2 linked regions of the Caenorhabditis elegans genome follow. The protein of the gene in region 1 purifies or fractionates together with the protein of each later gene. This does not show direct contact. Each region holds a gene or a part of one and is shown on either strand. Other genes may lie near its edges.

Region 1 (17,966 bases):
TGCCGATGTGCCGGTTTGCCGGAAATTTTCAGTTCCGGCAATTTGCCGGTTTGCCGATTTGTCTGAAATTTTCAATTCAGACAAGTTGTCGGTTGGAATGTTTGTCGGAAATTTTCAATTCCGGCAATTTGCCGATTTGCCGGAAATTTAAAGTTCGGCAATTTGCCGGTTTGCCGATTTGCGAGAAATCTTAATTCCGGCAATTTGTCGATTTGCCGGAAATTTTCAATTCCGGCAATTTGCCGGTTTGCCGATTTGTCTGAAATTTTCAATTTCAGCAATTTACCGGTTTGCCGGAAGTTTTCAATTCCGGCAATTTGCAGGTTGGCCGATTTGCCGGAAATTTTCGATTCATGGCAATTTGCCGATTTGCCGGAAATTTTCATTTTCGGCAATTTGCCGGTTTGCCGATTTGCCGGAAATTTTCAATTTCGGAAATTTGCCGATTTGTCGGAAATTTCAAATTTGGGCAATTTGCGGGTTTGCCAGAAATTTTCAATTCCAGCAATTTGCCGATTTGTTGGAATTTTCAAATTTGGGAAATTTGCGGGTTTGCCGGGAATTTTCGATTCCGGCACTTTGCCGGTTTGTCCATTTGCCGGAAATTTCAAATTCCAGCAATTTGCCGGTTTGCCGAATATTTTAAATTCCGGCAACTTGCTGTAATTTTCACTACAAACATCAAAATTATAGACTAAAACCAGTATTTATTGGTTACATGATACATATAAATTTCAATGAAAAGGTCGCCTAAATCAAAATGAAAAAACATGAAAATCATAGAGGTATCGTGTATCATTTAGTCTAATCGGCATTTGACTATAAGCCTGCTGACAGATATCCAATTCGACAATCGTGTAGCGTGGCCATTTGAAAGTGTAGTCCTTGGGTGTTTTGATCCGTTGTGACCACATTTGTGATCCTTTACGGATTTCATTCAGGAGACTATCGAATTTGTAGCATCCACCGAGCACCACTTTGTATCTGGAAATATGGAATTTTAAGTAAAAATTATTGATTTTTTCTCAATTTTTCGATGTTTTCAGAGAAAATTGAATTTTTTTTTACTTTAATTTTTTTTTAAAAATAGGGAGATACTTCGAATTTGAAAAAAAAAATTTGGAAACTTTTTCCAGGTTTCTATAATTTTTAATCATTTCTCATGTTTTTTGAAAATTTTTTTAAAAACTCGAATATATCTTTAAAAAATACGGAAAATCGAAATATTTCAAAACTTCTCTGAAAAAAGCCAAAAAAAAACGTTAAAAATGCAAAAATACCAAAAAATTGAAAAAAAAAACAATTTTTTTTTCTTTTTAAAAGTTTCAGTGAACAAAAACCAAAGATTTGGGTTTTTCAGAGAAAAAATAGGAAAATATTCAAAAATTTGAAATATTATCCAAAAAATCAAAAAATCGGTCAAATTGATTTTTTTTTTTTTAAATTTTTTCGTAAAGCTTTAAATTTTGTTTGATTTTTGAGTTTTTCCCGAAAATTATTTTTTAAAAAATTCTGTTAAATTACAAATTTTTTCCAATTTTTTTCTAAAAACACCGAAAAATCGATAATTTATGAATTTTCTCTGCAATAAACTGTAGAAATCGGAAAATTCAAATATTTTTGATTTTTTCTGAAAAAAAAACACCGAAACAAACGGAAATTTGAATTTTTTTTTTCCCGAATTTCTCTGAAAAAACACTGCAAAAATACCAAAAAGTTGTAAAATTTAAAATTCTCGTCGTTTTTCGATTTTTTTTTCGACCGACTCGAAATTTTTTGAATTTTTTTTTTCAAATTTCCAAACAATTTTTATTTCAATTTTTTAGAAATCTCTTAATTTTTCAAACAAATTTTCAGTATTATTAACCTGCAGAATATCTTATCCAAAGGCTTTTCCCCGTCACCCAAATGTGTATTTCCGACAGCGTCGACGTTTGTAAACTCTATCGAATGAATATATGGACCCATTTCATCTGAAATTTCGAAATTTTAATTTGGTAAACCACGCCCACAAAATGGACACGAAGGTGCAAATGCGCTCCAGTGGACAGTTGGAAATGTCAAGTTTTCGGTGGTAAAACCGCAAAAATTCCAAAATTTTTTAAAGATGTTTTTAAAAATTTGCAATGAAAATCACAAATTTTTTCAAAAAAAAAAAAACTCAAAGTTTTGAATTTCCCGCCGATTAGCATTGGAGCGCGTTTACAATTCTGAGAATGGCCACGCCCATTTAATGGACGTTTCACTTTTTTTATTTACGTCGGAGATATGGAAATTTGACGATATAGCCGTTGTCGCCGAGCAGGTCATCTTGTGTTATCTGGAAATTTTTTTTTGCGTAAAAATAATAATTTTTTGGGTCTCGCAGCGATTTCCACGCACAGCTCGCCGTGTACTCCCCGAGGAAAAGATTTTCAAGTTTTTGGCTAAAAAACTCGATTTTGAAGTATTTTTGCTGATTTTTTATGGATTTTTAAAATGAACTTTTTTTTTTAATTTGTAAATTTTTAACAAAAAAAACTGCAAAATTTTTGATAACTTGGCGATTTAAATATTCAATTCTTTTCCACGGAGAGTACACGAACTCCGTAAATCGACATTTCGCGGCAAGACCCAATTCAACAATTCTCACATTCAGCGCCTCCTTCTGAATTTTACTGAGCTTATGGGCGGCCGAGCGATGAAATTGCAGCGTTTCGTGTCCGCCGAGTGTGAATTCCGCCAAATTTGAAAAGTCTTCCTGGAAATTTGTAATTATATGGTAGGTAGGCACCTATTTTATGCCTGCCTGCCTACTGCCTATTTTTTGGGAAGTCGAAAATTTTACAGATTTTTTCAATTTTTTTTTTCAACAAATATTTTAATTTTTTTTTTAATTTTCCAAATTTTCAGGCGTACTTTAAGAACAAAAAACAATTTTTTGAGTTATTTCTGAAAAAATTGAATTTTCAAACATATTTTTCAGAATTTTTAGCAGGTAGGCAGGCACAATTTTCGTCTCGCCTACCTCCCGAATAGCTCGAAGAACTTCGAAAAAAACCGAATCACAGTGAGCGAGGAACTCCTTTTTCTCGTCTTGGAGGCCGATTCCACGGACAAATGCGTTTCTCTGAAAATTTTTAAAAAAAATGGATTTTTTGGAAAATACATTCAAACTTCCGAAAAAATTCAAAATGTTTAATTTTCAAAAATATAAAAATTCAAATTTCTCAAAAATTTCAAGTTTCCGAAAAAGTTCAAAATTCCGAAAATTTCAAATTTCTCAGAAATTTCAAATTTTCCACAATACAAATTTTCCAAAAAATTCAAATATTTTTTCCTAAATTTCCGAAATTTTAGGCCAAAAATTGCAAAAATCCAAAAATTCCAATATAAAAGTTTTCCAAAAAGTTATTAAAATTTCAAATTTCAAAAAAAAAACCAAATTTCTCAAAAATTCAAAATTTCCGATTTTTTCAAGAATTCAGCATTCCAAAAATTCCAAATTTTTCGAAATTCCGAAAATTTGCAATTTTTCAAAAAAAAACCAATTTGTAAAAATTTCTAAATTTCCGAAATTTTTGGCCAAAAATTTCAAAAATTTCAAAATTGTTCAAAAAAAAATCCGGAATTCCCAATTTCTCAAAAATTCCGATCGTGGCGAGACCCGAGAAGGTACAGTACCATATATCCCTGCACAAAAGCCTTCGCCTGCTCGATTTTTCCCTGTGGGGACTGCAAAATGAGACGTGGACAGCCCTGATGGAGTGATATCTGAAAAAATATTGATTTTATTTGAAAAAAAAATCTTCCGTACTCTTCCGTAATCCAAATAATTCCGATCGGATCGTGTAATTTGTACGGCCGGCTGTTCGGAAGAAGTAAGGATTTCATGGCGAAATGTATATTTTTCCCTGAAAATTTTGGGAATTTGCTGGTTTTTTAAAATATATGGAAAATTATGGGTTTTCGGCGGAAAAAACGAAATTTTGATTTTTTTTGAAAAAAAAATCAAAATTTTTTTTTTAATTAAAAAAAAATCGGCGTTTTTTTTTTTTAATTTTTTGTGATTTTTTTCAAGCGAAATTCAGCATTTTTCCGCAATTTTATTGAAAATTTCGGTTTTTACGTGTGGTTTTATGTAAAAATGCGAATTTTTAGTAGAAAAATGGACAATTTGTCTATTTTTGCATAAATTTTTGCTTTTTTGAGGTTTTTCGATTAAAATTTAAATTATTTCCTCAATTTCTGGGAAATTTTGATAATTTTTTTCAAGTTTATAGCGAATTTTTTATGGTTTTCTATTCAAAAATTCAATTTTTTAAAGTGTTTTTTTTTGGAATTTTCCCATTTAAATTCAATTTTTACGCAATTTCTGGATTTTTCTCCGTTTTTTAAAACATTTATGTAAATTTAGACCATTTTTGGCTATTTTTCCTATTTTTAATTTTCAAAATTATTTTTCCAATAAATTTTTGACATTTCCGATTTAAAATTCTTGTTTTTACGCAATTTCTGTATTTTTTTCTCTTTTTCGTGAAAAAATCGATTTTTCTGCAAGTTTTGCCAAGTAAAAATCGAAAAAAAAACCTCGAAAATGAGCTGAAAACTGCTCATTTTTTCGATTTTTCTTGTTAAAATGCAATTTTTACGCTGTTTTCCAACTTTTTTCCCAATTTTTTCCAATTTCATGTAAGATTTAGCGCTTTTAAACGTTTTTTAAAGCAGTTTTCTCCGAAAAATTGATAAAAAATCCCTCACCACAGCTTGGCGAGTGCTGCAACCCGCTGAAAATCTTTTTTCGGCGGTATTTCTGTACTAAATGCCCGTACGGTGGAGGCTGTAGCCCATCTCATCTGAAAATTTCGCGATTTTAGCCCAGAAAAATGGGTCTCGACGCGACGAAATTTTTTTTGTTAAATTCGAAAAGGTATGCGCCTTTAAAGAGTACTGTAGTTTCAAATTTTCATCAATTTTTCGGGGTTTTCGAATTTTTTTTTTTTAATTTCGAAAATGGATGAAATACTGCGATTTTTGAGCAATTTTTAACCCAAAAAGTGCAAAGTTGTGCATTTTTCAGCTCATTTTAAAGTTTTTTTAAATTTATTTTAATTCAAAAAAAAATTGTAGAAAAAACTTCAAAATTAGCTGAATTTTATTGCAAATTTTATCGATTTTTTTTATTTTTCAGAAATTTTTTTAAATCGAAAAACTGTGAAAAATTCGAAACTACAGTAGTCTTTAAAGGCGCATACCTTTTCGCATTTAACAAAAATTCCCGTCGCGTCGAGACCCAGAATGTCGTTTTTTTCGAAATATTTAGGTTCCTAAACCGGATTTTTTGGTTTTTTCTCAAAATTAAAATTTTTCAAAAAATAAAATGAGACATGCGTTTATTCTTCTCTGGAATTTTTGATTTTAAGATTTTTTGTTACTAAAAAAGAGGGGGGGGGGGGTCACAAAAAACAAAAAAAAACTGTATAAATTATCATTTTCTATAATAAAGAGCTGGGGGTGCGGGGTGATATGAGATTTTTTTTGCATTTCATTTCAGAAGCTATATAATAAATAGTGAGCAACTTTTGTTGTTGATTTCACACTGGTGTCGATTTTAAGGACAAAAAAGAGCTATGTATTCTAGTGAGTGGGAGCTGGTGTGTGTGGATAAAGTGAGTGAAAAAATGGCGCCGGGACGAAAAAAATAAGAAAAAAAAAATAGTTTTTAAAAGGGGAGCAGTGTGAAAAAATGGGGACTTTTGCTTTAAAATAATCGAAAAATAGGCAAAAAATTTTTTAAAAAAAGTGAAAAATACGTCAACCAATCAGCGATTCGCTCCGCCCATCATTCAACCAATCAGAACGCGTGGGCGGAGTTCGAAGACGCTGATTGGTCGGGGAGTTCACATTTTGGCGGGAATTATAAATTTTTCGCATTTTTTCAAAATTTCGGAATATTTGCTTTGAAAATTTTCAAAAAATCACCAAAAAAAACGAGATTTTCTGCGACCAATCAGCGATTCGCTCCGCCCATCATTCAACCAATCAGAACAGGTGGGCGGAGTTCGAAGGCGGGAATTCAAAAATTACGAGTTTAAAGTTATATTTTTCGCCATTTTTTTTTAATTTCCGAATGTTTTGCTATAAAAAAATTCAAAAAAAACAGCGACCAATCAGCGCTTCGCTACGCCCAGTTTTGGACCAATGATTGGTCCGAAAGTGGGTGGAGCGAATCGCTGATTGGTCGAAAGTCTCATTTTGGCGGGAAATTCAAAAAAAGCGGTTTTTAAGTAGAGTTTTTGATTTTTCGTGATTTTTCTTTTTTTTTCAAATTTAACATAATTTTAGAAATTTTTAAGCAAAATTCCCAAAATTCACACTACTCAAATAATCACACAGTTCATCATGGGGCAGGTGGATGGGTGGGAGGAAGCGAGAGAGAGAGAGAGAGAGAGAGAGAGAATTAGAGAAATAAGAGCGATGAAAAAAATCGGAAAAAGACTAGAATTTGAGCCCAAACACGGCCCGGTGGTCCATTTATCCATTCATTCCACGAACTTGTCCACTCTTCCTTTGCTCTTCGAGCTCTTTCTGGGCTTTTGCCTCGATTTCTCGAATATCGACCATTGTAAGGCCGTGCCATTTATCGATCCAGCAGAATACTTCCCGATGGAATTTCGAGAACAGGCGAGGGTATTGCTGAAAAATTTGGGATTTTTTTGGAGAAAAAATGGAAAAAAGCTGAATTTTCTAGAAAAAAAAACCTATTTTTCTGGGAAAGTAATGGAAAAATCCGAGATTTTTTGGCGAAAAAACCGTTTTTTTAAAGGAAAATAATGGAAAAATTATTTTTTTTTTTGGAAAAATCTGAAATAAATCTGATTTTTGAACATTTTCACGTGAATCTCAACAAAAATGTCCATTTTTCAGGTAGATTACTGGGTTAACAAAAAAAAACATTTTCGAAAATTTTACTTTATAGGATTTTATACAAAATTGCGCAGTTTTCCAGCTTTTTTTAAAATTAAAATTCAATTTTTTCGCACTTTTTGAAATTTTTATTAAATTAAGCAATGTTTTGGTTTATTTTTTTTATTTTTCATTTATAAAAATTTTCAGCGAAAAAGATGGAAAAAAATTTTTACGAAAATTGTGCATTTTTCAGCTCGATTTCTACATTTTTCGTATGCAATTTTTCGAAAACTTCTTTTTTTTTGCGGTTTTTTAAAGAAAATTTCTCCAATTTCAAGCTAATTTTTGAGATTTTTTAAATAAATTTATTAATTTATCGGGTAAAAATCCACTTTTTTGAAAATTTCCACGAGCATTTATGCGAAATTTTTCCATTTTTTCAGCTCGGTTTTCAGTTTTTTTCCGGAATTGTTCGAAATTTTGCTCGAAAATTGAAGAATGGCTGTGTAAAACCTCTTCCACTTAAATTAGAGGTTTTCTAGGTTTTCCTTTTGACTTTTTGGCAATTTTCGCGGTTTTTTCACATTCAAATTGGCAGTTTGTTAGGTTTTTAGGTGAAAACTTTATTTATCAGATTTTATTTATTTAATTTTATTTACATTTATCAGATTTTAAGTGAAAATTGTTGATTTTCACCTAAGAACCCTATAAATTGTCAATTTGAGTATGAAAAAACCACGAAAATCGAAAATTTCAGTTTTAAACTTTGAAATTCTTCTCCTCGGGGAGTACACGATCTGCGTAAATCGACATAGGGTTATTCTACAAATTTCAAACAAAAAAAAGCTCGTTTTTTGAGCATTTTCGCCCATTTTGTCGATCCACGAAATCCTCTCGTAATCTCACCGTATGCGCGTAGTTTTCGACAATTTTCTGGAATCCAAACCACTTGAAATAGACTGTAACAAGCTTGTAGGCACACATTACAGGCTGTACACTATCCTTCCAATTTCCAGATAAAGGACCGCTGAAATTTCAGATTTTTTTAATTTAAAAACTGAAAAATCTCAAGGTTTTTCCCGTACCGCCCGGTTTTTGTGCTCTGAAATTTGGATGGAGTGGAGTCTGGATGCAAATCTCCGGAATTCAAATACTCGTGATCATTTGCAATATTAATATTGACAACTTCTCGTTTCGCCAGCTCATCGCCCTTCAAACCGTGCGCATTTTCGGTCGTTCCGTTGTCCGGCAAGTGGATTGTCTCAATTTTCACATAGAAATTCTCTTTCATATAGTCTGGATTCGTGACAACCGTCTTACAGTACGGATAGGCATTCCATGCTTCTTCGTGGATAGCCAGAGAACCTTTTGGCGCGATTTTTCGCAAAATTGCCGGGACTTTCCTGAAAAAATTGATTTTTTTTCCAATTTTTTTCGCAGAATTAAAGAAGAAAATCCTACGATTGAAGATGATAAATCTTATGAGTATATTGTCCTTTCGTGAATTGTCCATTGAGCAGTGGAACATTGTCAAATGGCTCATTTTTGAGCACTTCCACACCTTCACCGCCACCCGTTTCGGCTTTTGAGGCCTCGGCCACAGACCAGAGCTGGCCTACTTGGTACTCTTCGACGGACATTGGAAGCACAACTCGGCTGAAAAAAAATTTTTTTTTTTGAAAATCTGGAAAAAATCCAATTTTTTTGGGAAAATCTGGAAAAATACGATTTTTTTTTTGAAAAAATCTGGAAAAAATCCGATTGTTTTGGGAAAAGAATGGAAAAAATCTGGAACAAATCCGATTTTAATGGAAAAATCTGGAACAAATCCGATTTTAATGGAAAAATCTGGAACAAATCCGATTTTAATGGAAAAATCTGGAAAAATACGATTTTTTTGAAAAAATCTGGAAAAAATCCGATTCTTCCGGGAAAAATCTTGAAAAAATCCGATTTTTTTGGGAAAAGAATGGAGAAATCCGATTTTTTTTTGTTGGAAAATCTGGAAAAAAACCGATTTTTTCCAGGAAAAATCAAAATTTTCGTTAAAAATAAAAAAATCACTTACTACTCCTTGATAATCATTCTTGCGAGTGTCGAATGAGGAGGAAACCACCTGAAAACTAAATTTTTTATGCTAGTTGCCATGGAAACAGCTTTACGGAAGATTAATGGGTGGAGAGCATGCGAAAATCGATTTTATTTTTGCATTTTGGAAGGTATTCGAGAAAAAGAAGAAAATTATTGCGAAATTTCGTAATTTGAAGGAAATTCACAAAGATTTTAACGATTTTTAGCGGGAAATTGAAAATTTTTGGATTTAAAAATAAAAAATTGATCGAAAAGTTAAAGGCGCACGGAGTTCCAATTGCCGATGGGTCTCGCAGCGAACTACAAAAGTTTGATAAATTTTTGAATTTTTTAAAGTTTTTTAGTAAAATTAAGTTGATTTTACCAATATTTAATATATTTTCTAACGTTTTTAAATAGAAAATGACAATATTAAATCGGAATTGGAAATTTTAACGGCGTCTCTCATGAAAAATACAAAATTCTCCCAAACAATGCGAAATCGTAGAATTATTAGTCATCATGAATAGAGAGAGAGAGAGAGGTGTTGCGAAATTTTTCTCATTTTGAAATTTCTTGAGGGAAAAATGGAAAAATCACTCAATTTTCCGTGGGAAAAGCGAAAAAAACGAATTTGAGAAGGGCAGTAATCGAAGGCGCATATAGTTTGAAGAGACTCGGGTCTCGCAGCGATCTACAGAAATTGTAATTAATTTTCAAGTTTTTAAACTTTTAAACAAATTTAAGCTATTTCTAGGTGGTTTTAAATGAAATTCTAACGATTTAATATTGAAAACTTGATTTCGAAGTGAAAATTAAGATTATTTTTAATTTCCGATTGGAATTCCGAGAGAAAAGCGAGCATAATACACGAAAAATCTTGAAATGGTTTTTAAAGGTGCATGGTCTTTGAATTGGCTCGGGTCTCGCGACGATCTACAAAAGTGTGATGAATATTTAATTTTATTGAATTTAAAATGAGTTTTCAGAAGGTTTTAACGATTTTCCGACCAATTTTCAGTGCAAAAACTGCAAAAAATGACGTGTTAAGGTCCATACACCCGCAAAAAACATAAAAACAAAGCGGAAAAAAGAAAAAAAAAAGACAGACGAAATAGATGAAGCAATAAGCGCAGCAACGAGGAGAAAATCGAATGCTTTCTGTGTTTCTGTCTCACTTGCCGACTCACTAGGCACGCGAAATGCGCAAGCATTCCTCTCGGTGACTTCGTATACTCTCTTCTCGATTAACAGCAGGGTTCGAGCCTTTCTTGGAAGAAAAAGAGGAAGAAATATTCGTTTTTTTTTCCTTTCTTTTAACGTTTTTGGAAGAAGGAAGACGGAAAAAAGATGGAAAATAGTATTAAAAATGGCCTTCCCCAAAAAAAAGAGGGCGGCGCGGCGAAAAATCGATAACACCCGGGACGGGGGGAAAACGGAGGAGAAAAAAGAGCTGGAGCAGAAACTAAATATGTCATGTTTGTGGAGTAGCGTGTGCGCTGTCAAGTTGAGAGAGAGAGGCTATATAAAGTAAAAAGTAACGACTATGGAGAGGAGCGAAATGGGTTGGAAAAACAAGTGACGGATGACATTTTCAATGGAAAATCTGAAAAAGTGTGAAGCTGGCGCGAGAATCACCATGGAAATGAGCGACAAGTTTGGGGCAGATACACATAAATCAAATTTCGACTTGCGGAAACAATATGAAATCGATTTTTTTGACTTTCCCCTATTAAATAATTAAAATTCAAAAAAAAATCGAAAAAAGCTGGGTTCAAGTGGTGCCAGGCTGTCCCATTACGGTTTGATCTACAAAAAATGCGGGAATTTTTTGCCAAAAAAAATGTGACGTCATCACGTTGTTAACCATGCGAAATCAGTTGAGAACTCTGCGTCTCTTCTCCCGCATTTTTTGTAGATCTATGTAGATCATGCCGAAAGAAGGCACTTTGACACCACGTGAATCGGTAAAGAAATGGAAAAAAAAAATCAAAATGCAGGAATTGAGACGCAGAGTTCTCAACTGATTTCGTATGGTTAGGAACGTGCTGACGTCACATATTTTTGGGCAAAAAAATCCCGCATTTTTTGTAGATCAAACCGTGATGGGACATGCTGATACTACGTGGTTATGCGCCTTTACACAGAGTACGGTACCTTTGGCCATTAAAAAGCGCCAAGAAAATTAGACTATCTGCTGAAAATCGATTTATTAACTTCCAAAAACAATAAAATCTAGAAATTGGAAGATTTTCTCTGTAACTGTAAAAATCTCGATTTTCGTCTGAAAAGTTAAAAATTGGCGATAAATTGGCTATTTAGGCTTAGGCTTAGGTTTAGTCATAGGCCTAGGCTTAAGCATAGGCTTAGGCATAGGCCTAGGCATAGACTTAGGCTCAGGCTTGGGCTATTGCTTCGGCCTAGGCCTAGGCTTAGGATTAGGCTTAGGCTAAGACTTAGGCAGATGCTGAGGCATAGGCTTAGACCTAGGCTTAGGCTTAGACTTGGGATTAGGCGTATGCTTAGGCTCAGGCTTAGGCATATGCTTAGGCTTAGCCATAGGCCTTGTGGCTTTCTGCAGGAAACTTTGCCCGATGCACCATGTTGAAAATGCCATTTTTTGTTGGATTCCCGGTGAATTCTACCCTTTTTGCGAAAAAAAAAAAAATTTCATTCAAAAATGTTCATATTGGAGGCCCGATTTCTGTAGTTTCCGCATTTTTTGGTGTCATTTTGTCTGAAACACAGACTTTGTAAATATTGGTAACCTCAAATGTACTTAAATCAATAAGACAGTGACTTTAAAAAAGTTAGTTTCCTATAGCTGCTACATTGACAAGTCTGTCAAATTTCAAATTTTAACTAATTTTAGGTAATTTTTTGAGTCGTCAAATTTTTTTGAAAAGTTTTCAACAAGTTTCATTATGAAATTCGGTGTTTTCAGACAACTTCGAGTCTAATTTTTCTTAAACCATGTTTCAAAGATCACATGTTTTATTTGTTTCTTTTGCATTTTCTTTCGCCTGCGTTTACCATTGCAACATTATCTTTGAGACAACAACACATGCATTATTTTTCATTTTTCGTCTAGCGTCTCTTCACATTGGTGCCACTCTTTCCAACCGTCTAACTGTCTACGATCTCCTGTTCTCTTGCTCTATACATGCTTTCACTAAAGCATCGGAATTGAGAGAAAAACGAAATGTATTCGATTGAAAAAAATTTTTTTTGAATATTTTTATTTCTACAGTTTTAGTGGTAATGTTGGCCCTTTTTGTCCGATGACTTAAAATCGAAAAAAACTAGAAGTTTTCTGAATAACTATGAGAAATTCGATTTTTAGAGACGCGAAAAAACAATTTTTTTATCTTTTAAAAAAATTACAAATTAATACATTTTTACATTCAAGTCTACTGATTTTATTAGATTTTTTTAAATATGCAAAATAGTTTTCAAAACATCTTAAAACCACTTTCAATTTTTAAACTTTTTTTTGAATATCCTAAATTTCTAAATTGTACTGCTGAAATTAATTTTTTTAATTTGAAATTTTACTCTGCTACTTCTAAATTAATTTTGGATTTATCTTATTTTAATTTTCCGTTTTAGAAAAAAAATCTCGGGTTTATTTTCAGAACTAAAAATGGATTCAAAATCCAAACCAATGACTGTATTCTCAATAGAATCAGTGCTCAGCCAATTTTCAATTAAGAAATTATGGGAAATTCGATCAAAAAATGAAGTGTTACGGAATATCAGTGATAAAATGGATCCCAATAAAACAAAGTTAGTTTTTTTTTCAATATTTGAATTTTTGAAAATAGATTAATAATCATAGATGTAAAACTCAACTATTTTTTCTGAAGTACAAGTAGACCAGGTTTTCCAAAATTAATAATTTTCAAACATTCTCAAATATCGACTTTTTGAAAAATGTTTCTTATAAAAGAAAACTTTAGACTATTAGGAATGTATAGCTTTTTCAAAAATAAAAATGTTTAAAATAGTATTTTCAGCAAATGGCCAGTAAAGCTTATTAAAATCGACGGGAACGAAATTTCTAAGCCGGACGGATTTACGACAGAAGGACATGTAAGTTATTGATTATTTATTTTTAAAGTTTCAGTTAACATTGTATCATATTAATACCAAACTTTTAATTTTTCAATTTCTTCCAGGTAACAATAAAAGGATTTAGACAGACGAGATGGATGGTTCCGCAAATTTTTCGAATTATCGATTCCAGTCAAGAAGTTCTCGAAAAATCGCTAATTCCGGTTGCCGAATCATTTTGTAAAAAAATGGCTTCAGTAAGTTTAATTTTTTTTTCTCGAAAAATTGAGAACAAATTAATAGTGAAATCAATTTTTAAAAAAACCGAGAAATTTACAGTAACCAGAAAAACTGAAGCAGAAGAAATAAATTTTCTAATTAAAGTTGTTCTGAAAATTCTACGCCACCGAGTAAAACATCGCAACCTAGAATTCAATTTTAAACAACATGTTTTTTAGATTGAAATCTCATCATCGGAAAGTGTGACCGACAAATACATAAAGACCGCTTTCAATCTTATTAACAATAGTCCTAAGCTCCAAGTGTTAAGGTAAGGAAAACAACTTTTTGCTCAGAAAATATTTAAATGTTCAGCTTACATGTCAATAATTTATCTGAAAGACATTTGCTCGACGTTTTGAATCGACTGAAGTTGCAAGAAAATGGGAAGGATACGCTAAGTCTCAGGTAATGAATTATGATGGGTGGTTGCCTAGTTTAAAAAAACACTTAGGCCATCAAAAAAGCCATTCTAAATGGATATATGTTCCAGCTTGAACTCCAGCACCGAGCTCACTTCGAGATTTATCAGTGAGGTTCTGAAAACGGGATTGCCGAATCTCAATATTCTCGTCAAAGCACCGCATCCGGGAGAAGCCCTTGTTGTTAACAGAGCAGCAATTGTACAATTTTTCGAGGTATGCGGGGATTCTAAGTTTTGAGGAATAGACCCGACAAGGGAAATCTAGGCCACTGTGGTCAAGACCATCTGAAAATATTTTATGAACAGCTTTTGGTTTTTGGAAATCTGAGTCTTCGAAGAAATCTCTGTGGCTGAGGTGTTGAGTTTTAGGAATCTACGCTATCTCTGAAGATTTGTGGTCTATTAAATATAGAGTGGCTTATGTTTTTTGAAGTGTTAAGCCACCGACTAAATTGAGTTGGCCTATATTTTTGTGTTCATAGAAACTTAGGCCATTAATTAAAACGACATCGTTTAGACATTTAGATGTATTTAAAAAAAAACCTCCACCGGTGATGTTTGCGTGGCCTAGGTGTCTTTACTTAAGACAACTCCAGGAATTCTAGATCACAGGTTCATGCGATTCTTCCGTAAACAGCTCATTAATTTTTCTGAAAATTTTCACGTTTTCTGGAAAATGTTCAAAGTGTTTGGAAACTATTTTAGGTGAACCAGCACCAGTTGGGACTTTAAAAAAAATACACTTATAATGATCCAAAATCTAAAAATTTTCAGAGTTTTCATAATTTCCGGTAAAGTTTTGGCAAATTGATAAAAATTTTGAAAAATATGAGCTTTTGAGGAAATCCAGATCAATGTCGCATGTATCAATGCTTAATACAAATCAGGGGTGGGCGGCAAACGATTTGTTCCGGCAAATCGGCAAATCGGCAAATTGCCAGAATTGAACTTTCCGGCAAATCGGTAATTTGCCGAAAATTTTCGGCAAATTGTGGTTTTGCACTTATTTTTTGGAATTTCAGTTTCAAATGGCAAAATTAAACGCATCACCGGAATTGAACTTTCCGGCAAATCGGCAATTTGCCGTAAATTAAAATTTCCGGCACATTGCCGGATTTGGAAATTTCCGGCAAATCGGCAAATTGCCGGTTTGCCGATTTGCCGAATTTGTCGACAAATAAATTTGCCAGATACAAATAACCGAAACATAATTAAAGTATAAAAATGCAGGGAAAAATATATGTTTGGTCGACGTCCAAAATGATGAGTGGCAATAACTGAGTAATTGTCACTTTTTGACAGTAAATAAAACATTTTAAAAAATCTGAAAAGTTTTATTATGTTATTCGGCCATTTTGACACCATATGAGTAGTATTTAACACCACAAAAAATAAAAAATACTTTGAACTTTTATCGGAAACTTTTACAAACTATTTCAAAAATATTCATGATTTTTTTAATTTTTCCAGAACTACGAACCTGCTGAAAATGTGCCAGGAATCAATCGTAGTTTAATATTCGATACAATGGAAGAAACACTGGTGGAATCAATATTTGATGATCTTAAAAGAATGCATCCAACGACTAGCAACGTGTATCTTGAAAACGGTGCTCTGATGTTCTGTACCCACGGGCCCAAGTATTGGATTCGATTCGAAGTTTGGTTTCCAGGAAGATAATTGGGGTTTTTAGGAGTTGCATGGATAATGTCATTTTTGAAAATGTCCCAATTCTCATTCAAAAATCCTAGACTTGAAAGTTTCTTTTAAGAAAATATCTGAAAATTTCAGTAAAAATGTTTAAAGAAGGAGTATCCTGAATAGGGAAATTGTTTTATAATGTAGTATTCGTGCTCAAACTTACGAATATAACAAAAGAAAAACGGGGAAAACCCGTTAACATTGAGCATTTTTAGTCAGAAAAATCGACGAAAAAAATCTTTAAAATTTAACTAGCGAAATCTTAGGCCACGAGGATTGCTCGAATTTAAATTCTGTTCTGCGTTGTGTTTTTAAAAAGTATTTTATGCAATTTCTTCTTCCCAGTTTTCTCAAACTTTTTGAGAAAGAAAAACGAATTAAAGTTTGAAAAATAGCATTTAAATCAATATGTTATGTTGTTGAACGAATATGGCCTAGGAATCGTGTGGTGGCCTAGGATTCATTTGCGCGCGAAATTCAAATTCAGCCACTTTCGTCGATTTCAACGGCTGAATGCTGAATGTTAACGGATTTTTTCCGTTTTTCTTTTGCAATAATTAGAAGTTTGAGTACAAATACTGCATTTTAAAACAATTTCCCCATTGACGATACTCCTTCTTTAAGTTTCAAAAATTCAATAATCTTAGAATAACTGAAATTTTTTTAAAACAGGAAAACAAAAATTTTAATCTCTGAAAAGCTCCAAATATTTTTAATCACTTCTTTAGAAACAATTAAAATTGAAAATTTATGTACATGTTTCAACAAATCAGACCACGATTTTTCCCCGTTTTTCCATTTTTGTTATTTATGTACAAATTGTAATTATCTTCCAAGTTTTGTGTAGGATTCCCCTATTTTAACTGTTAGAACTGTGGTTTTTTTTAGAATATTAATCATACATTTACTAAAAAATGATTTCATTTCCATTTATCTTGTGTATCCTGATTCCTCATTTTCCATAAAACCTCATCAATCCTTCTTCTGGCTCCGGCCCGCTCCACATGTTTCTCAATTACCCCCTTCTGCAACCAGTGGTGTTCTTTGAAAAAACAAATGTTTTGCGATATCACTTGAGGGTTAAATTGGAGCTTTTTTCAAGCAGAGTTTTCAGGTTGGAGCAGTTTCAAAGTCGACGGAAATGTATGTGGAGTAAGAGTGGAAGTTTTCGAGGTTATTACGGTTTATTAAAGATAAACTAATAAATAGAGAAAACACCGAGTTAATGGGACATGTAAAGAGGGGAAAAGGGCGATAAATGACACAAGTAAAAGGAATTAGAGAAGACCTCGAATGAGCGTGACGACGGTCTTTTATACTCCCGGCTGACGAGGATTGGCGGGCAGTAATCCGAGGCGAATCGAGCGCGCCGTCCAACGGGGCGCGTTTGCATTGTGTACGGTAGACAGGTAGCAGGCCTAGTCGTTGTTGTTGGCAGCGGTGACGGCCGAATGCAGACATGCATTCGCTACGACGACACTTGCTGGACCTGGAAAACTAGACTGAAGTAATGCTCTTATTTTGGAGAGGTGGGAACCAGAAAATCCTTACAGTGGTAACAATCGAAATTTTTAACCTCATAGACTAATGCCAGATACGAAGTGTGAAAAAATATGAAAACTGAGACAATACGAAAAACCTTATTACTCACTCTAATAGCTCCAAAAAAATTTGGTACGCTATTTGAAGCTATATCTGGTGCAGTAAAATTTTTGCTCGTTTTTCCTACCATTTTCAGCCAAAAATATTGTCTATTGAATGCACCAGCTGGTCGTGGTGCAAAAAAAATCGGTGGCCGACTTTTTTTTTGTTAATTTCTCGGTCACAGCGGAAAAAACGGGGGTTATTGCAATAACTTTTATACTTTTTTGTGTTGGAAAATCTATAGAACATTCAATAAATAAATAAATATCTTGTGTGTGGAGCGGGGGATAAATTTCAGCAGAAATAATAAAAATAAATTAGAATTTTTTTTTGGTAAGACTGATTTTTTCACAATAATAATAATAATCAAAAATACATTAGAAGTGAAATTTGGGGGGAAATTCAGAATTATTTAGGGGAAAAGGCAATTTAAATCAGTTGAGAAGCGCTTGGAATACTTCATTGATGTTTGCAATCGCCATCAGATTCTTCGATTTTAGGGAGAGCTGCAAAAAAACATATAGGTCGTCAGGCTCACGCCTGCCTACCGCCTATGCCTGCCTGCCTACGGTCCTGCCTACAATTCAATTTGGGATGATTTCCGATATTTTCGCATTTAATTTAATGTTCTATCTAGTAACAGGTATGCTTGTATGCAGAAGGTAGGCACGTAGGCATATGGTAGGCATAAGGCAGGCAGGTAGGCATATCCGTTAAACCTACCGTAATCGACGTGGTCTGTGAGTTGACTTTGAGCTCTGAGAGCACATTCAAATTGTTCGTATACTTGACAGAATGATACAAAAGTTGTTGATTGTCAACTTGTCGCCGTGCCACCGTATGAATGTTGTTTTGTTGTAGTTTTGTGCAAATTGCGTCTGAAAAATGGGAAATTTCGAGAAAAAAA
Region 2 (16,009 bases), on another chromosome or scaffold:
TTAACAAATACCGAGAGAGCAAACATTTTTCTACTTGCTCATCCAAACTTTTGGTTAGCGATTTGAAACAATATACCGACTCCCCAAAGTTTTTTTTTTAATTTTCAGTTGTTCTTTCGAAATGTTTGGTAATTGCTTGAAGGCTGTTGCCACCCGGTTTTTAAAATTATCAAATTTCAAACAAAGACCCAATTTGCAAAACGAAGGTGTGATGTCTTCAAATCTGCTCGATATGCCTCTAGATGTGATCAATGTAGTAATGGGAAAGTTAGAGCCCATGGACTTGTGAGTTGAATTCATTATTAGTGGAGTAGTGCCAGTGGGAATGTTGTCTAAATTCAATTATAATAAATTGAAAAGTTTTGGAAAATTGCCAAAATTCTGAAAAATATGAGCAATTGAGAAAATCCAAAGAAATGTAGCATTTTTAGACCCCTAATACGAAGTTTTAATACGAATAATTAAAACAAAATTGCTGTATAAAAATGTAGGAAATTTTTTTCCAAAGTTTTCGACTTCCAAAATTATGAGTGACAAAAACTGAGTAATTGTCACTTTTTTATTGTAAATAAATAAATTTCAAAAAAAAATTGAAAACCATAGGAGTAGGTATTAAAACTTTTACCACTGGCTACTAGACCTTTCAATTTTAAAATATTCTAGACTTAACAAGGGTCACATAAAAAAAGTTTGAAACCACATAATCTTGGGTACCAGCTGATTACTTCAAAATGAGTGAACCTTTCAAATTGTAACACAGAATTACATAAATAACCACCAATTCATTACAGATTAAGATTGCGTAAAGTATGCCACAGTTTGAAATCTGCTGTCAATAAATTTGGAATTCATTTCGATTCAATTCATTTCGAATTACATGATCACAGTATCACCTTGTGCTTGGACAATGGATTTCCCATTTACATTAGAGCAGTTTATGGTGGTACGACTGTAAGCTACGGTCAGCGAACAATTGAAATTGAAGAAGAAAATTTCATGGATGTTGGGTTCAAGGATTTGAAGTTTTTATTGAAGCATGTTTCCACATTAGGAATATATAATTATGCAAAAAATAGAAAAGAGATCATAAAATCTTTTATTGATTTTTTGAAACCAGAAGAATGTTTCCCAGTGGATGCAGTCGAAATTTGGAATTTCTCATTCAATGATGTCGTTTCTTTTCTATCTTATTTTGATGATAAAACACTGAAATCAATAAAATTGAATCAAAATGAACCAATAGAACAATTTGAGCCAATAACTTATTTGGACCAGTGGACAAATGCAAAACATTTTGGCCTCAAAGCTACAAATTCTAATGTTGACAGTGAAATAATTAAAAATCTGTTTCATTTTCCACATTTCTGTGTCTACAAAATAACCGATTTCCCAACACAACTTGCAGTTAAAATAAGAGATGTAAGTTATATGTACTTGGATTTTTTGGTCAGATAATTGATTTTCTTGCAGAATCTAATGAGAAGAAGCACATTCCAACAGTGCACTTTATCAGTCAACAAATTGACCTTGAACCCAATCGAAATTGCGAGAATATTCAAATCGGACTATACTGGTGGTAAAGAATATAAATTCAAATATTCAAATGGAACTCACAAATTTGAAATTTCACTTGTACAATCTACTAAATGTATTTATGTCCCTTTTATCTTTTCTGTGAAAAGATTGTGAAATTTCATTTTAAATAAAACGTTTTTGTTGAAGTACTCAAAGTAATTATTATACGGTATATGATGCATTTCCAGTAGTACTGCAGTTTCTAGTAGTGGCTAAAACTAATATGTATCCTGTGCTAACAATAATACATTTTTGGCCGGCGCTGTCTATTGTTGAACACAACGATGGTTCGACTGTAACTTACAATCATAAGAAACTGAATAAAAAGAAAACTCTGTGAAAACTGCTTTCATAGAATTGCAGATAGCACCGGAGCATGAGTATTTACTTCTCTACTCTTGCATAGTTTTTTTTCGAGTCTAGAATCTTTAAACATGCCATGATACATATGAACTCACCAATCAATGAACTTCAATTTTTTTTAGAACTGAGCCGCAAGAATCTGTGGGAAGTAATTTGGAGGAAAATTTTCACAAAAAGGAACAAAAATAAATTTTTGTATCAACCAACTTTATTAAATTATTATACTTTCAGAATTAAATTAACGTTTTTTTTCAACGAAAAAATTGAAAAAGTGCTGCCGACTCATACATTTGATTTCAAATAAATTGTTATTGTCCGAATACTCAAATGCATACTCATTACCACCATCATATTCCGGTTTGAATACTTTCGCTATTTCCTTCTGGTTATACCCTTTGCAATGTATTACACACTTCCGGAAGGTACTTTTTCTTAAAAGATTCTGTAATACGATTAAATGTAGAACGGAATGCAACCATTATTACTTGCATCTCTGATTACAATTGCACTTTCAGTTGGAAGTACGTCCATTTCTACATCAAACTCTTCAAAGTGAAACAACTGCTCTATTGATAAATTTTTAATTGCGAACGGATTGCATCGAAATAAAAATGTTTTTGCATTTTTTCATTGGTCTGATTGAGCAAGATCTTCGATACTTCCGTTTCCCCGCAATTCAATACTGTCTAGCACGTGGGCATCAAAATTAGAGAGAATCGAACAACTGTCCTTGAATGTAAACATTCGAAGGGAAATTCCTTTCACGCTTGAAAATTTTGATCTTTTCAAATAATCGATAAAATATTCAATATTATCTAGTCGTGAATGATTGTTAAACACTACTTTTGAATCGGTGTTCAATAGCATCTCCAAATCCTTGAATGCTATTTTTAAATAGTTTTATTTTAGTTTTAGTTAGTTTTATAGTTTTATAATCCTTGATAATCGTTTCCTGACGGTTGTGAATCCCAGTTGTATTACTCATATCACCATTCCCAGCAGAAGTATAATAAATTACGGTTTCCTCCAACTCCATAGAAACCTTGTCTAGAAATAAGTTAAACGTGATTTTGCCAACATTAAATTCAAATTTATTAACGGCGGTTCTCAAACCTCGACACACTTTACGGCAAGTCAATCTGAAATATACTTCCGAACAGTTTTGTATATTACATATCAGCGGTGTGCGGCAAATTTGCCGAATTTGCCGTGTGCCAAGTTCGGCAAATTTCAAAAAGAACCATGTGTGTATTCAGTAGTTTTGGTGCTCCAAAAAACTTAAAAAATGTCACTTTTTCGGAGTTTGTTAGGCACGGCAAATTTGCCAATTTTGCCGAATTTTCCGAGCTCGGCAAATTTTGAGATTTGCCGCACACTCCTGTTTCATATGGAGCACTAAAAAAAAGTTAAACAAAACAACTCACCGTTCCAGGAACCCAAGCTTTTTCAAAATCTGATTAGATATGGTGAGAGGCATATTGAGAAATTTGGAAGAAACTTGAACATCAGACATTATTTGAAAATTTGTTTGAAAACTGAAAGAAAAGAAAAAGGATCATCTATTAGGTTGGTCAAAAAGTCTTTGCAAAATTTGTTTGTTTCTTCATTGCTCAGCGTTGATTTATTTTTTTCCAATTCTGTTTTTTTATTTGTATAGTACGTACTGTGCATGCTTAATACATTTGAAAAACTTGTAGGTACTGTTCAAAATGACCGAGAATTTGCTCGCAGAAAGTCACACCCTCCGAGGGGTTTTTCTGTACGAGTTCCTCCAAGGCCACAGTTGCAACGAAGCTCGTCGTAATATGTGTGCAGTATTAGGCGATAACTCTGTCTCCTACAATACCATGAAGTTTTGGTTTGAAAAGTTCAAGAAAAAGAACTACGATCTCGATGATAAACCAAGATCCGGTCGCCCGCGTTTGGATATCGATGAGGATATTTCGAGAGCCCTGGAAGATGATCCAAGATCAATGTCACGAGAAATCTCTGCGACTCTCAAGCGTCCCCACACAACCATCATCAACCATCTCCACGAATCCGGAAGGGTGCCAAAGTTCGGTCAACTCGTTCCTCACAATTTGTCCGATTCTCAGAAAAGTTGTTTTGTGACCTCTCTTTTTCGCTGCTCACTAGGAAACGAACAACGGACTGGGTTAAGGATATCATTACTGGAAATGATAAATGGGTATTGTATGTTAGCCATACCAGGAATAAAGAGTGGGTCCCGGTCGAGGAAACCGCGACAAAAACCTGACCTCAAAGGGAAACTTCACGAGAAAAAGTGCTTCTCTCAATTTGGTGGGACAGTAAGGGTGTAATTTTCCGAGGGCTTTTTCCAGACTTCGTTACAATCAACGCTGGCCTATACTCTATTCAATTGGAAAAGATGGTCCGTGCTCATCGATTGCATCACCCTAGAGGATCAAAATTGTTGCTGCTCTATGACAACGCAAGATGGCATACAACTTTGAAGACCCGCCAAAAGCTCCAGACACTCGGAATCGAAGTTTTGCCTCACCCACCGTATTCACCGGACTTGGCTCCTACTGACTCTCAGGAGTTCTATGCGGAGGGATTTGCTCAACTTCCGTTGCGTTGGCAAGAAGTCATAGACACTAATGGAGAATATATTACCCATTGAATCTTGTTCGCTTTCAATAAATACTTCTTACAAAAAAAATTCAAAATTTTGCAAAGACTTTTTGACCAACCTAATATTTTTTTGTGTAGCAATCTATTTTTCGTGTAACAATCTATTTTTCGTGTAACAATCTATTTTTCGTGTAACAATCTATTTTTTCGTGTAACAATCTATTTTTTCGTGTAACAATCTATTTTTTCGTGTAACAATCTATTTTTCGTGTAACAATCTATTTTTTCGTGTAACAATCTATTTTTTCGTGTAACAATCTATTTTTTCGTGTAACAATCTATTTTTTCGTGTAACAATCTATTTTTCGTGTAACAATCTATTTTTTCGTGTAACAATCTATTTTTTCGTGTAACAATCTATTTTTTCGTGTAACAATCTATTTTTTCGTGTAACAATCTATTTTTTCGTGTAACAATCTATTTTTTCGTGTAACAATCTATTTTTTCGTGTAACAATCTATTTTTTCGTGTAACAATCTATTTTTTCGTGTAACAATCTATTTTTTCGTGTAACAATCTATTTTTTCGTGTAACAATCTATTTTTTCGTGTAACAATCTATTTTTTCGTGTAACAATCTATTTTTTCGTGTAACAATCTATTTTTTCGTGTAACAATCTATTTTTTCGTGTAACAATCTATTTTTTCGTGTAACAATCTATTTTTTCGTGTAACAATCTATTTTTTCGTGTAACAATCTATTTTTTCGTGTAACAATCTATTTTTTCGTGTAACTTTTTTAGTTTCGATGTTTTCAGTTACACTAGAAAATGTGGTGTCAAGTATTATGTTTTCAGTTGAACTAGAATTAGTGGTGGGGGGGGGGGGGGGGTTAAAAAACTTTTCTAGACTCTTCTAGAAACTTCTACAATTTTCAATATTTGTGTTTCGTTAAAAAACATGTGGAACTATATCAGTCGTACACATAGAGTTATCAAAAGGTATAATATGGACTCTTATTATAATTGCAGTCCCTAATAGACTTTCATGCAAACCTGATAAGAAAAAACCCATATTTTGTTCATGCAACTTCTACAAACCCAAACTCCTCCTACTATTAACGTTTTCTTTTCCTGTTTGGCAATTGCAAACATTGACCTCAATTAAGTATGCCTCCTGGGAATGCAGAAATTGCGCGCCAATGCAAACGGGCACCCTTCTCGTGTCATTTGAACACAGCCCACCTCTCGCAACACCGCTCATTCTTCTTCTCTCTCTCTCTCAAAATGTCTATGGCCACCGTTGATCCGTGGATGCAGAATCTTCCTCAAATTACCAACCAGGATTTCTTCCATTCCTCGGGAATCGAATGTTGGAATCGACAGTTTCCCGATCACCGCGTTGTCGAGGAAAATGGTCCGATCAAAACGAAGGATGCGTTGATGATTTTGTATTTTATCACAGTGAGAAATATCAGGAAAAACCGGTAAGAATTGCTCTTTTTTTTTAAATCAATAATTTTACCTTTTTGCAGAAATACAATAACTCGTATCAGGGATGCACTGAAATCACCGGTTTCAATTTTCCGCCGCTCTCCAAAACTCTCACTTCAAGAGGATGTGCTCAGTTGGCAGAAATCGCCGGAATCTCTTGCCGCCAGCGAATGTAAGAAATGCTTTCAAGTTCCTTTTTAATTCTGCAATTTTCAGACGGCAGTAAACTTTTCGTTCAATTTCTGAAACAACAGACGTCGGCTGATGATGTCGATTTTTGGCTGGCATGCGCTAAACATCGGTGGACAGAAATGACACGGGATGGATACGAATACGCAGCTTATATGATTTACAATACTTATGTGTTCTGGACGTGTGAAAGAAAGGTGAGTAATAGTAAATGTCTCTAAGCAATTTTGTGATTGGAATTTTCAGATAGATCTACTTGATAAATTTTGCTTTGTGGACGACGACGGTGGCACCCCGAGAGATGTGTTCATCACTGCTCAGGCATATGTTGGGACCAAATTTCCAAAGGATTCGCACAAGAAGTAAGTTGAAAAGTCAATTTTTGTAAAGATTTGGTGAACGGTGATTAGATAAATGTGTTTCACGGGACACTCTGGCACCATTGCGGTTTTTGTTATGAGCTTTTGGTTCCGATTTCTGTCCTCAGTTTCGATTTACGGCAAAAATTTTACTTCAATTCTTGCAAATTGACTAAACTTAATTTAAAAAGTTGCTAAATTTGGGTGATAAGTTGTGGAGAATTTTCGAATAGTTCAAAAGAGAATTTTTTCAGATTCCTCCAAGATCCCATCTACTTGAACTTCCTCCATTCGGTATCGTCTGCAGCAAATCAGCAAAAGAAGTAAATTGAGTGACATCATATTTTTTTGGTTTTCTCTACAATTTTTCACACCTCCCACCCAGTTCCCAGTTCCTATTGTTTTTGCTAAATGTACGTCTATATTTTATTGATTATTACTAACCAAAGTCTTGTTTGAAATAAAACTGTTGCATGATGCCTCCGGGTAATTGTGTAATCACTCTTCAATTTGCAGAAATTTCTCAACCAACTCTAGAAATTCCTATTGCAAAAATAGCAAATATTTAGTAAAGTTGGTTAAAATGGGTGCGGATAGACGAAAATTGCTGATAGTTCTAGAAATAGATTTTCACCCATTCATTTAACTTTCAAAATTCAATTATACTTCTGTAAATTGCATTTTCATTCGAGTAATTAAATTAATCTAGATATAAATCCGTCGCCCGTCTGCAGCTGGTCTCTCCAAAACTTTTGAGTGCCTTTTTCGCTATATCTATCATTTTTGCGCACCCTATGCAATTAAATATTTTATTAAAAGAGCATTGTCGTTCACTATATTGGAGGTGACAATTTACGATTAAGCAACTCCTCGGAGTGTAGTAATCTCAATTGCTTCCCAGATATGACTAGAATAGAAAAATTATTTAACATTATGATACTTCCACTACCTTTCCATTAAAAATATAGGTTTTTTTGATTTATAGTCGTTTTAGTAATCATTATAAAAATAAACTCACGAGATGTCGGCCGCTTTATTTTTTGCCATGATTTTTGTATTTTTAATTAAAAATTTAATTTTTTTAATTTTTAATTAAAACTAATAAATTTGAAAAAACATAGTCTTGATCACGGGTTACATGTAACTAGTTGACCTTTTTTTTTGATAACATCTTTAGTTTTAGAGTTTAACGGAATAAAAGCGAAATCATCAAAAAACTAAAAGTGGATATCTTATTGGCCAGTACTGTATTTACTCATCTAAAATCATTAGCCACTATAAATATTTGTCAATACATATATACAAAAAGTTTACATCACTCATCATTTAAAACCAATAGAGAATTAGATATAAAGAATTAGAAAATAAATGTGAGGACAACCACCAGTTGTCCAAATTCAAACACCAAATGACCGGATACTAGTCGTGAAGCTCGTCTTTCCCAGGAGGAGGTGTTTCTGCTTTGTTTTCAAACAACGCACATTTGGTCATTGTATGGGCTTAATCACAATGGAGCAATGTACAGTTGATAGTTGACAGTTGACAGTTGGCAGTTAAGTACCTTTGTTGTTGACAAGCAGAAAATCTAATTTGCTAAAAAAGTTTGTGTTTACTACATCTGACTTAAAAACACTTTCAAGGCCTTAAAAATCTTTTTAAAATTACAACGTTCGAACTGGATTTCCATAGTTTGTAAAGTTATTGTCTTTCATTGTCCGAAACTTACTAAATATGTTTTAAATTGAAGTTTAATGAGAATAAACTTTAAGAAAACAAATCTGAAAACTTTGAGATGACTCTTAAAATATTAAAATGAAAAAATCCAACTTTTTCTATATCAACGATAGTAACTAAAATAATTCCATTATCGAAATTCACGTTGAAAGCCTCAACTTTTTCAGAACAGAGAAACTTGAGCAAACTTTTTTTCTGTAAACATTTGCAACCACTCTTCAATTAACAAATACCGAGAGAGCAAACATTTTTCTACTTGCTCATCCAAACTTTTGGTTAGCGATTTGAAACAATATACCGACTCCCCAAAGTTTTTTTTTTAATTTTCAGTTGTTCTTTCGAAATGTTTGGTAATTGCTTGAAGGCTGTTGCCACCCGGTTTTTAAAATTATCAAATTTCAAACAAAGACCCAATTTGCAAAACGAAGGTGTGATGTCTTCAAATCTGCTCGATATGCCTCTAGATGTGATCAATGTAGTAATGGGAAAGTTAGAGCCCATGGACTTGTGAGTTGAATTCATTATTAGTGGAGTAGTGCCAGTGGGAATGTTGTCTAAATTCAATTATAATAAATTGAAAAGTTTTGGAAAATTGCCAAAATTCTGAAAAATATGAGCAATTGAGAAAATCCAAAGAAATGTAGCATTTTTAGACCCCTAATACGAAGTTTTAATACGAATAATTAAAACAAAATTGCTGTATAAAAATGTAGGAAATTTTTTTCCAAAGTTTTCGACTTCCAAAATTATGAGTGACAAAAACTGAGTAATTGTCACTTTTTTATTGTAAATAAATAAATTTCAAAAAAAAATTGAAAACCATAGGAGTAGGTATTAAAACTTTTACCACTGGCTACTAGACCTTTCAATTTTAAAATATTCTAGACTTAACAAGGGTCACATAAAAAAAGTTTGAAACCACATAATCTTGGGTACCAGCTGATTACTTCAAAATGAGTGAACCTTTCAAATTGTAACACAGAATTACATAAATAACCACCAATTCATTACAGATTAAGATTGCGTAAAGTATGCCACAGTTTGAAATCTGCTGTCAATAAATTTGGAATTCATTTCGATTCAATTCATTTCGAATTACATGATCACAGTATCACCTTGTGCTTGGACAATGGATTTCCCATTTACATTAGAGCAGTTTATGGTGGTACGACTGTAAGCTACGGTCAGCGAACAATTGAAATTGAAGAAGAAAATTTCATGGATGTTGGGTTCAAGGATTTGAAGTTTTTATTGAAGCATGTTTCCACATTAGGAATATATAATTATGCAAAAAATAGAAAAGAGATCATAAAATCTTTTATTGATTTTTTGAAACCAGAAGAATGTTTCCCAGTGGATGCAGTCGAAATTTGGAATTTCTCATTCAATGATGTCGTTTCTTTTCTATCTTATTTTGATGATAAAACACTGAAATCAATAAAATTGAATCAAAATGAACCAATAGAACAATTTGAGCCAATAACTTATTTGGACCAGTGGACAAATGCAAAACATTTTGGCCTCAAAGCTACAAATTCTAATGTTGACAGTGAAATAATTAAAAATCTGTTTCATTTTCCACATTTCTGTGTCTACAAAATAACCGATTTCCCAACACAACTTGCAGTTAAAATAAGAGATGTAAGTTATATGTACTTGGATTTTTTGGTCAGATAATTGATTTTCTTGCAGAATCTAATGAGAAGAAGCACATTCCAACAGTGCACTTTATCAGTCAACAAATTGACCTTGAACCCAATCGAAATTGCGAGAATATTCAAATCGGACTATACTGGTGGTAAAGAATATAAATTCAAATATTCAAATGGAACTCACAAATTTGAAATTTCACTTGTACAATCTACTAAATGTATTTATGTCCCTTTTATCTTTTCTGTGAAAAGATTGTGAAATTTCATTTTAAATAAAACGTTTTTGTTGAAGTACTCAAAGTAATTATTATACGGTATATGATGCATTTCCAGTAGTACTGCAGTTTCTAGTAGCGCTGCATTCAAAAAAAACCACCTCTATAGGTTCGACATTTTGAGGAGAGTTTTTGAATATTTTCGATAACTTCTTGTATTTACAAACAGAAATGAATTATTGGCTTCATCTCATTTTGGTAAAGGGAAAAAACACCAAAAATATTCATCAAAATTGCTCAAGCCCATGTGAAAAAAATTCCAATCATGTGAACAATTAAACCGTGACTACAACGGCATGCGCACAAAGATGAAAAAAGCGTGTCCGACCGCCACGTTGGCTGACCTTGCAACGTTGCCGCGGCTGCATCAACAACAACAACACGAACACGTGGAGCTTTCGGACAAACTGCAGAAACTTCTAGAATCCGTTTTAACTTTTTTTTATTGGTTTTATAACACTTTTACTTGCGTTTGATTATTTTGTTTCAGTTTCTGGTTCTTTCAAACCTTTTCAATTCTTTTGTTGTACCTGTAAATGTTTGCCGTTGACTTTTAACTCTTGAAATGCTTTATTCAAAGTTATAATTTTTTATTTCAGATATCTCGCGAATCCCTGAATCTGCTCAGATGTCGTCTCCTGACAGCTCACAATCCAAGAAGGCAGTTGGATCCCATCCATCTGCACGCTCAGTTTTCCCATCAATGGATTCTAGCGTCTTCACGGATGATGACGGGTAAGAGAGATTAAGCTAGATAAAGTTATATGCTTGTTTAGAAGCTTTTTGAAAAGAGTCCATATTCCGTGTCAGGCTGTGCGACAAACTTTTAATTTCTGAGTGACATGCAATTTTTAAATCCAAATCAAAAACTTGCTGTAGAATTATGAGAAAAACTTTCCTTGATTATAAGTTGTTGGTAGTTTCCTGAGCTGGTTTTGAAAATTTTTTGACAAACAAAAAAGTTTGGGCAGTTTTTTGAAATTGTAATGATATTCCAACAAAAGGTATGGGTATTTTTGACACATTCAAATGTGAATAAGTTTCGGGTCTAATAATTTTTTGCTGCTGATTATGACGTTCTAAAACTCTGGTACTGAATCCTATAGACCTCCAATCTTGTGTAACTCAACAAATCGTTTTTACACCCGTCCTCTGTGGCCTAGTCGGTAGTCGGTGTGTCTCGTTAAAATGAGGCTATGGTTCGATCCCTCCTGCGTTTCAATTTTTTGTCAATTGAACAATGTTTTGAAATATCTCTTCCAATCACTTTTGAGCACATTTGAGGACTTCACAATAAGTTTTAGGAAATTAAGAAAAAATCTAGGAAGCAAGATAGTGCAGAAGCCTCAGGAAAAGTGGCTAGGTTACGTTGAGTGGACTTACTTTTTTGTGACTACCGTCAAATGAAAGCTGTAACTAATCTCATAAACTTTCAATTTTCAGGTGTGAGATATTGCATTCGACGGCAAAAACTTGCGCACCGCCGGATCCTTGCTTTCCCACATCTCCTTTTTTTTGTGTGGAAAGTCCTGATGTGACAGATTTATCGCCTGACAAACCAGTGGAAGATATCCTGAAACTGGGAACGTATGTTTATAAATAATTTCACGGTTCTTCCAAAAATTTTTGAAAACCCCCAGGTATCCCTACTAGGAGCTACTTTTTCAGCCTTCAGCCCAAACTTGTTAGATTTTTAAAGGGGGAGTAGAGTTTGTGGGGAAATATATGTTTCTGACTCTAATTTTGCCCCTGATGCCGAATATCCATGTGAAAAAATTCAAAAAAATTTCCCTGATTTTATATTAATTTTTAAAATCCGAAAATTCATTGGATGCCAGTATGTGAGTTTTCAAACGTTGAATTTTCCCGCCAGAGACGTGCCGCAGGTGTGGGTTTACATTTTTTTCCAAACTTTCACTGCATACCGATACCTTTTCTTTTACATTTTTTATTATTGAGCTTGTCATAAAATTTGTCTCTATTCGGGAGTTTTGTTTTATTAAATCTTTTGAATGAATCCATGTATTCATATGGATAAACACCTTTCTTTCTCATCATAAAACTAAGAACAGAAGACCTTCCCACGAAACCGTGCCGCAGGTGTGGGTTTACGAGGTGAATATTTTCCTTCTATTTTTATTTGATTTTATACCGATTTTCGTCGATTTTTCTCATTTTTTCGCTGTTTTATGGCGCATCTCTATAGTTGTGGGATGGTTTTTTATATGGCAAAACACAGTTATTCCACAAAAATTCTGCAAAAAATGCTTTTTCGTGCACTTTTCATCTGAAATTTACCACTATTCCACGTCTAGTTTTACATCAGCTTATCACTGCGCGAGCTCATCTCTCCTCACTCCTCCGCGAGACTTTAACGGCGTAAAGTTAACAGTATCTCTTGTAAATTCAAGAAATTCAGCACACACACACACTCTCTCTCTCTCTCTTCGCTCTCACTGCTGGTTGTCTCCTCTGCGTCTCTGCCAGGCCGCGCTGGGTACATAACGGAGAACACTTCCAAGGCCTCCATGCCTCAGTCGGTAGCAGGTTGCTTGGCCAAAGAGAAGGATGACAGTTCGACTCCCATGTGCGCCCTATTTTTTTGCCTTTTTTGTTTTACTTATTACTTTGGTTTTCCCAAAAGCACAAAGTCAAGAAGTGGAAAGTAGAAGCGTTTAACACAAGTTTTGAAGTTTTGCTTATTATTAAATGACTACTTCTGGTCTCCGAAAAGACCTAAAGCCATTAACCAATCTAGATCTCTTAGAATTAGTTGAAATACTCAAGATCAAGAATTTCCGTGGAGTATTCATGCGAGATACTCTACCAAATGAAGGAATTGGAGAAAAAGAAGTAGGAATTGTGATAGCAAATCCAACATAAATGGGTTTATCCAGAACAATGTTAGTTTTCTCCATTTCTACAGCTACCAGGTGTTTATTATTCTTCTTTTAAAGTTAGGTTTACTTGCTAATTTTTTGATTTTATCTTCATCAGTAACTAAACGGACATCAACTCTTTCTCTGACATTTTCCATAGTTTTTCCAAATACACTATTATTCATTAATTTGTAAAAGTCTTTCTCAAAATCATTTTTAGCATTTTTCCTGGGATTTGTGTTCATTTCAATATATGAGGCTAACCAATTGCTTTCCTTGAAAGTAATGATCCTATGAATTTTCTTCAGCTTAAGTCCTAATTGAAGACACTGTAAAAGATTTTCATAATGGATCACATACTTCTCTCTATCAAATAAGGTATTGCACAACTTTTTAATAACGTGATTATCAATTTTTACATTCTCTGGACACAAAGGAGAATCATTATGCCTTGAGTGTATTTCTTTGGGATATTCTAAATCTACTTCAAATATGCAACCTCTATCTAACTTCTTCAAATAATTAATATAATCCTTTAGATCCGATTTGACTTCAGCTTCACCATTGAGAATACTTATTAAAGATTGAGTTTCAAATTTGAAGTCTCCAGTAGGTAACATTTGACACATTGCCCATCCATACAAATTGTTAGCATCTAGATACAAAAGGAAATTTGTTAATTGTTTTTCATTGAAGTTTTTAGTGTATTTGTTGTTAACTTTAGAATATCTTTTGACAGCATTAACTATTCCACCTCTAATTCCTTTTTCAATCATGAGATACATCTCAACATCATGAAGTTTGTCTAATTCTACTTTAGTTTTCTTAAGCATAGCATCCCAAGCTAATCCTGGAGAAGTAAAGTACCAACAAGGATCAAGTTGATAAACCCTTAGACTCAAAGCTCTGAAGTTTTCAAATACATCTGCTAAAAGTAGGACATCATTGATCATATAAATTCTAGTGTAATCTTCCAAACTAGTACACTTCATTTTTTTCCAAACTTTCACTGCATACCGATACCCTTTCTTTTACATTTTTTATTATTGAGCTTGTCATAAAATTTGTCTCTATTTGGGAGTTTTGTTTTATCAAATCTTTTGAATGAATCCATGTATTCATATGGATAAACACCTTTCTTTCTCATCAATTGGAATTGATGGGGGCTATAATAATTTTTACAAAGGCGTAGGTTTTAATCACTCAAATTTTCTGCTAATTTATCTAATGCAGAAGGCATGAAAGAGAAAGAATCTAGAAACCTACATTCAATTCTATCATATAGTAAGGAATTGATAAATCAAGACCTTATTAATTAAACAATTGTAACCTGAGACTGAGACTTTGTAACTTGTAACCGTGAAAACTAAGAACAGAAGACCTTTGATATCTTACTAATAGATTTATTAGAAAGAAAAAGTCTTTTTAAACCAGGAAAACCAATAATATCTCGAAATACTCGAGACCAAGACACTGAAAACAAGGAGAAAACTCCTCAACTGAACCCTAAATCTTAACTAAAAACAATAAAAACCTAAAACTTGTAACAATGGAAAACGGCGAGCATTACGGCGTCGACCGGCTTGCATCCGTTCTTGCGGGAGAAGTGCTAAGAAATCTTGGATTCGCGTCGCCGTGTGCGCAAGGCACTGAAAGTGCGTCAACAAGATCGCAAGGCGCGAAACTTGTTGAGCAGGAAATCAGAGGTTTTGGCGTGTCAAAATGACAAAAGAGCTTGCGTTGAGGGAAAAATAAAAGAGAAAAAGGGTAAAACCCTACAATATACATTATCTGTTTGTGAAGGTAACTTGTAGCTGAAACTGATAAACTTCTCAGTATTGCTAGAAATTTTTTCTATTTCTATTTCATGCTCATTCAAATACTTAGTACTTTCAAGACAGCCAACAATGAGATGAGAATCATAACCTTTAAGGTTGTGGAAGAATACTGGAATGAAATTATTCTTTCTTCTCAGTATATTGCAAGATCCACAAAAAGGTCCACGATATTCTCCAGTCCAATGATCATGATCTCTAACTTTAGTAGTTTTCATATCTTCTGTGTTATATTGTACTTGACAATGAGGGCACTCTTGATTTTTATTGAATTCAGTCCATTCATCTTGAGTCAACTTCTTCATTCTCACAGAAGGAAGACTCATGATTTCTTGAGAAATTTTGATGATATATTTATTGAATTCTAAAGTTGCATTATATCCTATATATGACTTCATATTATGTATTTTTTTGGTGAAGGAATCCACAACAACAACACAAAATCTTGATGCTACATGTTCTCCAACATCCATAGTCCATGATTCATTAGGTTTATAGTGAGCATTAGAGAACTTCCAAATAATACTCTCAAAGTCAGCATAAATAATGTATCTATGTTTCTGGGTTTTACTAATGTTTTTGAATTTGATGGATTCTTTCTTGGATAAAAGGTGTTCTATTGGTTTGTTTTTACCACAATCCTCTAAGTGTCTGTGATAGCTTGATCTACATTTATCGTTCATATTTACATTATAATAACAATGACATCTAACACAGAATGTTTTCTGATGCACACCTCGTTTATTGAGTACCTTATCCAAGTTTTTTATGAGAGACTAATGGGAGTTTCCTTGATCGTTTTCATGATAGAATAGATTTACTACTCTACTATTATCAGTAGTCATTCTTCTTGAAGGTCTAAGTCTATTGATTTTCTTACAATTTTTATTGAATTTTTCAGTACATTCAAAAATATTGACTGCAAGGTCATTCATTTTTTCGAACTTATCTATGTCTTTAATTTTCATTGGAAAAGTTAGATCTCCAAAATTTAGTTCATTCACATAATCACTATACTTAGTAACTCTTTCTGCATTTTGATCAGCAGGATGCAAATGAGC

The links.
Region 2: the proteins of Y54F10AR.1 (region 1) and fbxa-40 fractionate together in Caenorhabditis elegans (co-fractionation; one large-scale study listed by BioGRID). This does not show direct contact.

Annotation. Positions count from the first base shown.
Region 1 is NC_003281.10:2,566,713-2,584,678, forward strand, and holds Y54F10AR.1 (Phosphatidylinositol transfer protein N-terminal domain-containing protein), read right to left. Parts: upstream 8,974-17,966; coding exon 8,957-8,973; intron 8,545-8,956; coding exon 8,350-8,544; intron 8,292-8,349; coding exon 7,974-8,291; intron 7,916-7,973; coding exon 7,795-7,915; intron 6,676-7,794; coding exon 6,514-6,675; 3' UTR 5,446-6,513; downstream 1-5,445. Other genes in the region: Y54F10AR.2 (Mitochondrial genome maintenance exonuclease 1), read right to left, coding at 756-984, 1,868-1,973, 2,260-2,320, 2,633-2,740, 3,008-3,109, 3,664-3,753, 3,797-3,893, 4,741-4,835; Y71H2B.8 (FTH domain-containing protein), read left to right, coding at 12,602-12,744, 12,975-13,050, 13,137-13,268, 13,470-13,561, 13,606-13,698, 13,784-13,928, 15,185-15,394; apb-1 (AP complex subunit beta), read right to left, coding at 17,494-17,565, 17,783-17,937.
Region 2 is NC_003284.9:1,934,841-1,950,849, reverse strand, and holds fbxa-40 (F-box domain-containing protein), read left to right. Parts: upstream 1-8,650; coding exon 8,651-8,814; intron 8,815-9,320; coding exon 9,321-9,948; intron 9,949-9,999; coding exon 10,000-10,218; downstream 10,219-16,009. Other genes in the region: fbxa-41 (F-box domain-containing protein), read left to right, coding at 122-285, 792-1,419, 1,471-1,689; rgs-8.2 (RGS domain-containing protein), read left to right, coding at 5,819-6,018, 6,067-6,197, 6,242-6,411, 6,461-6,576, 6,828-6,900; Y59E1A.4 (uncharacterized protein), read left to right, coding at 10,863-10,969, 11,678-11,837.